Linked DNA regions of Rattus norvegicus. The protein of the gene in region 1 interacts with the protein of each later gene in a biochemical or structural test. Links are inferred from orthologs where the notes say so. Each region holds a gene or a part of one and is shown on either strand. Other genes may lie near its edges.

Region 1 (4,435 bases):
GAGCATAAAGATGTTAAACTTTTGTTCTGGTTCTGAGACACAGCCTCACTATGTATGTAGCTCTGGCTGTCCTGGAATCCAACATGTAGACTAGGCTGGCTTCCATTCAAGGAGATACGAGTGTCTCTGCTTCCCAAGTGCTGGGATTAAAGGTGTGTGCCACTATGCCAGGCACTAAGTATCTTTTACATCGGCAAATACTATATAGTAATCATTTTATTGAGGACTAGTTTGATTATTTATCCCTGATTTAGCATAAGATTGTTGTCTATTGATTTATTTATTTTATGGATATGAATTTTGCCTGTGTGTTTGTTTACTTTTTGGATTTTCAAGACAGGGTTTCTCTGTGTAGCCCTGGTGGGATTAAAGGTGTGTATCCCCATTGCTTGGTGCTGTTTGTTGAACACACAGGATGTACTTCATTAAATACACTAGACACACTGAGTGTAGTGTCTCTATAGGGAATCAAGAGTGAATGGACGAGTCCTATATAAATCAGTTTACTACAAAAGAGCAGGGCAGTGGTGCATGTCTTTAAACCCAGCAGAGAAGGCAGAGGCAGGTGGATCTATGTGAGTTCGAGGCCAGCCTGGTCTATAGAGTTCTAGGAGAGTGAGGGCTACACAAAGAAACCCTGTCTCGAGAAATCAAACCAAACCAACAACAACAACAAAAAACTTATTGGAGGTACAGAACATGCTTTGGAAACATGCTGTTTCCTCCCCTTGACAATGCTCATCTGGTAAAATAATATTTTATGCTCATCTCTGACTGGACCAAAACAAAAATTTAAATGTTGGTTGGAGTGCAGCTTATCTCAGAAGACTATTGATGTTAAAGAAACAAACAAACAAATAAATACATTGTGAACACCAAACTTGCATCAGGCCAAACACTCGGTTCAGAGGCATTAACTGGATACCTGCCAATTCACATTCACCTGTTGACCTCTACACAATCTTCTCTGAGTTAGTGGCCCACACTCACTAAAAGCCAAATTAAAATTTTCTTTTGTGTTTTTCCTTTTCAGTGCTTCATTGTCCCAACATCTATCAGAGTAAGCGTCAGGACACCAAAATTCATTTTGTGCCTTGACCCGAAGTCTAAGCAGCCGGTGGGCGGGCTCAGAGAAAGGCCTTGTGGCTGTTTCTTATTGGGGCCTGGTTGCTATGGTGTCACCGATTTTAAAAACTCGCATGAACCACTTCCGGGGGCTTAAAACAATTACTTCCGGGGCTGCCCATACTTATAATGGTTTGCTCCTAAGTCTTTTACCACAACAAAAAATAAAACTTGTACGAAAAACTCCTGGGAACTCCTCTATAGCCCCTGAAACCCGTGGTTATGACATACTATCAAATGTGTTCTTCTTTTTAAAACTTATTTTACATTCCTTTTCTGTTAGCCAATCTCCAAAATGGCGCGGACGGCCTCGCCAGGTTAGAGGCGAGTCACGTGGGTTTCCCCGGTTCCGGCGCGCTAGAGGCCCCGGGTGGTGAACGAGGCTCCGGCACCATGTCTGGTTTGTCTGGCCCACTATCCTGGCCTGGCCCTCTCCTATCCGCCTTGCTCTTTCTGTTCCTTCTCGGCCCCAGCTCGGTCCTCGGCATCTCCTTCCATCTACCCGTGAACTCTCGGAAGTGTCTCCGCGAGGAGATCCACAAAGACTTGCTGGTTACGGGCGCGTACGAGATCACCGACCAGTCTGGGGGCGCTGGCGGCCTGCGCACCCACCTCAAGGTGCGGCCCCGGGCGGCGCGGTGGCGGGTGGCAAGAGGGCAGGCGTCGTCCAGGGGAGGCTGAGGTTGGGGGAGGCCGGCGGGCGGAGGCTGGGGCTTGGCCTGGCCTCCCCCCAACCCCATCCCTGAACGCTAAGTACGCGCGGTGGGGACCGCCCCTTCACCCGGCGCGTTGGGGTTCGCGGGGCGGGGCTGCGCGCTGAAGTCGGGGCCCTTGGAGGGGCGGAGGGGCAGAGAGGCATTGGCGAACCTAGCGTCTAGAGACCTAGGGCTCTTTCGACTTCGGGCTGTCATCAGGGTTTTGTGTCTGTGAAGTCTCGAAAATCGTGCTATAACGTGATTTTTCTGAGAAATGTGTAGAGCATCAGTGGGGTTTGACATCATAAGACACCTCAACACCTACAGATAAAGCAGACAATAACGTTGTCCGTGACTAATAAAACGTGTTATTTATTAAGCATCTGAAGTGTCACTTCCTGTGCCACATAAGGTTGTGCGTTTAGTTCAAACACTACCTTATGGAACACGTGGGTACCATTGACCTCATTTATATAAACACAGAAACTGAGGCTCAAGTAGATGACTGAACAATCGTTGGAGTTGGAATTGGATGGAAACGTGCTAAAACCTTCCTTTGTGATTCCTGGGATTTATTATTGATCAGACAAGATGGTCATAGTCTCTAGTCCCATCAGTTAGCTACACCAGGGTCATCTGGATCCATGTATGCTGACAGCTACTTTACTTAATGCCGTATGGTTCTGGTTTTCAGTGGAGTTTTGCTTGGCCAGATTTTTGAGTTGTTAATAGTTGAGTTGGTTGAGTACTGCATAATTGTGTTCATTCACAAAAAGCACTAGTAAATTTTTTGTTTTTTTCCAACAGAAGGAAAACTTCACATTCTTAAGCCAAATACAGTTTACTTAAGGTTTCTTTTTTAATTATTTATTTTGTTTTATGCATATAAGCGTTTTGGCTGCATGTTTGTACGTGTACCTTGTGGGTGCCTAGAGCCCATGGAGGCCAGAACAGGGCATTAGATTTCCTAGAACTGACATTTAAGATAGTTATGAGCCACCATATGCGTGCTGGGAACCCAAGTTGGGTCTTCTGAAAGTGCAGTAAGTGATCTAAACCTCAGAGCATCTCTCCAGCCAGGAACAGTTTTGTTTTAACAAGCTTTAGTCATATTGTTTCTATTTAAAGTATTGGGCCATGGTAGTGATAGTGTTACAAACTTTATTTAGGAGAGGAAAAACCGGACAGCTCTGATTTTTCAGGGCTATTGTTTCGTGTGCCATCTTTTTTTTTTTTTCCGGAGCTGGGGACCGAACCCAGGGCCTTGCGCTTGCTAGGCAAGCACTCTACCACTGAGCCAAATCCCCAACCCCGTGTGCCATCTTTTTAATTATCCCTCTAAATATTGAACTGTCAACCAGGAAAGTGGTGGTGGTACATTTTAAAGACACAGATACAATGTTTGGGGTTTGATAATGCTGGCCCCAGAGTAGAAGAGGAGTGGTGCCTACAATCCAAGAAGCTGAGCTCTTCAGCCTTGCTGTCTCTCCTTGAGTCCTGTGTTTGAAAACCCTTCCTGGGCTCACTGCTGCCTGTCTGACACACGTGCTGTCGTGCTCCTCCTCATGAGATCTGTCTTGAAGCTTCATATGTTGTTAGTTTCCAATTTGTGTTCCAAATGGAGTCCCCTGAGCAGTACTCTCTGTAACTGTCTCTGCTTATTCTTATTCTCCCTATCAGTAGCCTTTCTAAGGGTAGGAATTGTTTTCCTGTTCATATTTTCTAGAGTGTTCATATGTCGCCTTGCTTCTAGTAAGCATTCAGCAAGCAGGAACCATGCATGGTCCAGCCTTCCAGTAGTGAATATCTGGGCATGGGCCAGCGCCTAGCAAAGGGGTATCACCAGCAGGAGTTTGTGCTTCAACTCACTAGTATTTCACCCACACTCAGTTATCCTCCCTTTGTCTGCTGTGTCTCACCCCTAACCATCTTAATTGGACTACTGGAATCTTAAACCCAAAAGCCAAGTAGATAACACCTAGGAATGAATTGAGCCGGATACTTAAAAAGAAAAGAAGACCGGAAGCAGCTGTGTTAGTGTGGTGTCACTGGCATGGTGGAGATGTGAACGTGGAGGGAGCAGCACTCCCTCCACTCTTTGTTTGGTTTGAGGCCTCACTGGAAGCCCGGGTTGGCCTGGAACCCTCTATCCTTCTACCTCAGCCTTGCACGTGCAGGGATTGTACTCTCTCGCTCATGATGAAACTTGCCTTGCAAACACATGGGCCCTTTTGTCCCATCTGGTTTTTCAAGTGAAATAAAAAGTAAAAATTATGATGTCAAAGTCCTGAGTTTTATCACCAACACAGGTTGCTTTGGGCAGTGTTTTATTTTCATTCTTATAAAGAATGTATCCATTTGCATGTTACCCGGAGTTTGCAACTATTTAGGATCCATACTTGTTTAATCTTCATCCTTTTCCTTTTATTATTTTTGGTTAAATTGTCTCAATTCCAGGAAACCCCCAGTATTAGTATTTCAGTCTAGCTGATGTCAGCTTGAATCTCTTAAAAAAAATAGGAACATGACTACTGCGTTTTATAGCCATATAAAACACCCTTTCAGAAATAACGGTGAGTTAGGTATGGTTGTGTGTGTCTGTAATCCTGAGGAGA
Region 2 (3,646 bases), on another chromosome or scaffold:
TATTTAAGTATGTGAGTACACTGGTACACTGTAGCTGTCTTCAGACACCAGAAGAGGGCATCGGATCCCATTACAGGTGGTTGTGAGCCACCATGTGGTTGCTGGGAATTGAACTCAGGACCTTTGGAAGAGCAGTCTGTATGTTTAACTCTTGAGCCATCTCTCCAGCCCTCACTTTTTAAGTTTTTAAAAAATTTTTATTTTGTGTTTTGATGTGTGCGCGCGCGTGTGTGTGTGTGTGTGTGTGTGTGTGTGTGTGTGTGCAGTGTCTGTGCAGGGTAGAGTGGGTGTTAGGTCCACTGGAGCTAGAGTCACTGGCATCTGTGAGTTGCCAGATGGAGGTGCTGGAGACTGAACTGCAGTCCTCTGGAAGAATGGCTGGTGCTCTTAACCACTAACTTGTCTCTCCAGCCCCCTTAAATGTTTTTCATTTGGATTTGTTTATTATATTTTATGTGTGAATGTTTTGGCTGCGTGTATGTGCACCATTTGCATACTTAGTGCCCTCAGAGGTCAGAGGGTGTGAGATCCCATGGAGCTGGAGTTATGGATAGTTGTGAGTCAGCCTGTGGGTGTTGGGAATCAAACCAGAGTCCTCTTTAGAACAAGAGCTTTTAACCACCAAGCCTCTCCTCCCCAACCTTTTAGTTTTTAGCAAAGACTCTGTACCTGTTACACACTGTCTCCCCATCTGCCTCTCCAGCCTCTCGCCCACAGTTCTACTCTATGTTTATGATCTGACTGCTGCAGTTACCTCAGTTGAGGAGAATCACGAGGTGTTCTTCTTTTTCTGTCTCCTCTATTTTGCTTATATCCTCAGGTTTCCTCTGTATCATAGCTTGTATCAGAATTTTCTGCTTTTTCAATGTTGAATAAATATTCCTTTAAAGAACAGACTACATTTGGGGACCAAGGTGCTGTCAGTCTTGTGACGGGTGCTTCTGCAATCTGTTCTGTTGCTGAAACCCAGAAATGGAGTTACTGGATCAGATAATTCTGTCCTTGGTGTTGTGAGGAACCACCATATTGTTTTCCCAGCCTTGCGTGCCACTCATCCTAGTTTTTCATGTCTCGGTGTCTGTGTGGAGAAAGATCTCACATAACCGGACTCTCTGTTTTGAGTGAGTGAGTCTGTTAGGTACATAGCAAACAGGAGTGATGGAAGACAGCAGTAGAACCTAAGAGCACACACAGCATCCCACAGGAGTGAGCGGGAAGCCTGGGGGAGAAGGAGACCCTTGTTGACAGACTGCTAGGTGAGACTTCCATTGGCCATTCCCACCACGTGTGCTTTTACACTGTGAGATAAGCTTTGGGAAGGTTCCTGGGAGTGATTTGCTTAGCTGTCTTCAGGGATACAGTGTTATTACTTATGTGATTTACTCTTCGGGCCCCAAAGGCGCCGTTTGCACTCTTGGACTGTATTGCTGTTGCTCTTATCAAGGGCAAATGACAAGCATCCCTGGACAAGGGGTCTTAGAAGATAAAACATGCTTGGGTCTGAGGCCAGGGTTAAGGAGCAGCCCTTCCCCCAGAGCCACCTTGCAAGGCACATGACAGTTCACTATGTAAAGTACCTTGCACTAGGCAGAAGAAATGGGATCTAAAATGTTTGCATTAATCTTTCTCCTTTTAGCATTAGGAGGCCCCAGTGAGCTGCCGGGCCACGCCTGTTGGTTTTATCCTACAAAGAGACAGAACCCTCGGCTCCTGCTTCCAGACTGTCCGTGGAGCATTGTCTCTGGGCCTGGCTAGATTCAGGAACTCAGCTGGTCTCCAGAGACCATGAGCTCTGCTCAGCTAGACCTTTCTCTCCAGGGTGGCTTTGAGTACAAGCGTGCCATCGTGGACTGCATCATCAGCATCATTGAGGAGAACTCAGAGAGCAAGGAGACAGGGTTGTCACACCTGTGCGAGTTCATCGAGGACTGCGAGTTCACTGTGCTGGCCACCCGCATCCTGCACCTGTTGGGCCAGGAGGGGCCCAAGACCAACAACCCCTCCAAGTACATTCGCTTTATCTACAACCGTGTGGTCTTGGAGCACGAAGAGGTTCGGGCAGGTAGGTTCGAGCTGGGGTGATCCTGGCCTCTTAGTTTCTTTTTGCAGTGAATTTGCCAGTGAAGGGACTGAAGCTCCCAGGAGGACGAGCATCCTGGGGACATGGCCTCATGAGCTGTTCTTTACATTGTCAGGAGTTTAGATGCCAACTGGATAAAAGATTTTCTACAATTTACTTTTTAAAAATTTCACTGTATATTTGTACATAGAGTTGTTTTTTGTTTTATGATTTATGAGATAGGGTCTCGTTCTTTCTATAGCCAAGCTGACTCACACTTGAACTCCTACTACTTCAGCCTTCTATGTACTGGGATCCTAAGTACCATTGTTCCTGGCCCTTTTTTAAAAAACTGGAGAGAGAACACACACCACAAAGTTAATCTTTTTTTATAAGTCCGTGATCTATCAGTCTACCATCTTGTTTTTAATTTCATCCTATTTTTCCTTTTTCCTTCTATGCCCCTTCTAGGCAATTTTTTTTCCTTTTGGCAGTTAATCAGTAAGTGATGGTTGACTCTCCCATGTTTTACTCTCAGGCTTAGCTACAAATGGAGCTGCTCAGAAGTAGCTGACAGGGGTTGGGGATTTAGCTCAGTGGTAGAGCGCTTGCCTAGGAAGCACAAGGCCCTGGGTTCGGTCCCCAGCTCCGAAAAAAAGAACCAAAAAAAAAAAGAAAGTAGCTGACAGCGTTGATCACGTTTTTTAGCCTTAATCATTAGAAAGTAGCCCCTAGTGCCTTAGAACAGGAGCCGCTAGTGTGTTACCCCTTTCTCCAGTGACTGGAAGAGGAACGTGAGGCCCGGGTAGCACCAAGATCCACTAGAGTTGCACAGAATCTGCTCTGTGATTGTATTAGCGGTGCCACCCACTTCTGCATGGTTCCCACCCCGAGCACTGGTGGGCGCCCTCAGCACTCTGGCGGGCGGCCGAGGGCGGCGGGTGAGGCATCTTTACCTTGGAACTAGGTGCAGTGAGTGCTCTGGCCAAGTTTGGAGCCCAGAACGAAGAGATGCTGCCCAGCATCTTGGTGTTGCTGAAGAGGTGAGTGTCAGCCCAGACGCCCCAGTGTGTAGCAGCGCTCCCCTGGGTCCAGTCCAGCTTTTATTCAAATGTATTCATTGAGGCAGGATTTCTCTATATCGCCCTGGCCTTCTGGAACTTGCTATGTAGACCATGATGGCCTCAGACTCACAGAGTTCCACCTACCTCTGACTCCCAAATGCTGGAATCAAAGGTGTGAGCCACCACATCCAACAAAGATTTAATTACGTGTATCTTATTTGTGTGGGTGTGGTGCCTGCATGTGTATTTGTGTACTGTGTGGTGCGTAGTACCTGCTGAGTCCAGAAGTTATCTCCTCTGAGCTCAAGGGTCCCTCTGTATTTTGTGGTTTGGTTTGCCTTATGGTGCTGAGTGAGATCTTTACCAGGGAGCTGTCTACCGCTGAACTGCGTCAGCCCTTGTGTTTTATACTGTCATTCAAGACCCATCACCCTTGCACTGAGCTTTAAGAGCTCTGCATTGCCCTGCCATCCCCATGCAGTCCTGCACGGTCCCTCTGACACCCTGGCTCGGCTCAGTCAGG

What was found. The genes of interacting proteins can lie anywhere in the genome.
Region 2: the proteins of Tmed10 (region 1) and Copg1 form a complex in vitro, tested with the Homo sapiens proteins (2 studies listed by BioGRID). The link is inferred for Rattus norvegicus from reciprocal best matches to the Homo sapiens genes TMED10 and COPG1.

What each region holds. Positions count from the first base shown.
Region 1 is NC_086024.1:110,754,827-110,759,261, reverse strand, and holds the start of Tmed10 (transmembrane emp24 domain-containing protein 10 precursor), read left to right. Parts: upstream 1-1,518; coding exon 1,519-1,743; intron 1,744-4,435. UniProt on the Homo sapiens protein: Cargo receptor involved in protein vesicular trafficking and quality control in the endoplasmic reticulum (ER) and Golgi.
Region 2 is NC_086022.1:121,937,345-121,940,990, forward strand, and holds part of Copg1 (coatomer subunit gamma-1), read left to right. Parts: intron 1-1,818; coding exon 1,819-2,062; intron 2,063-3,026; coding exon 3,027-3,102; intron 3,103-3,646. UniProt on the Homo sapiens protein: The coatomer is a cytosolic protein complex that binds to dilysine motifs and reversibly associates with Golgi non-clathrin-coated vesicles, which further mediate biosynthetic protein transport from the ER, via the Golgi up to the trans Golgi network.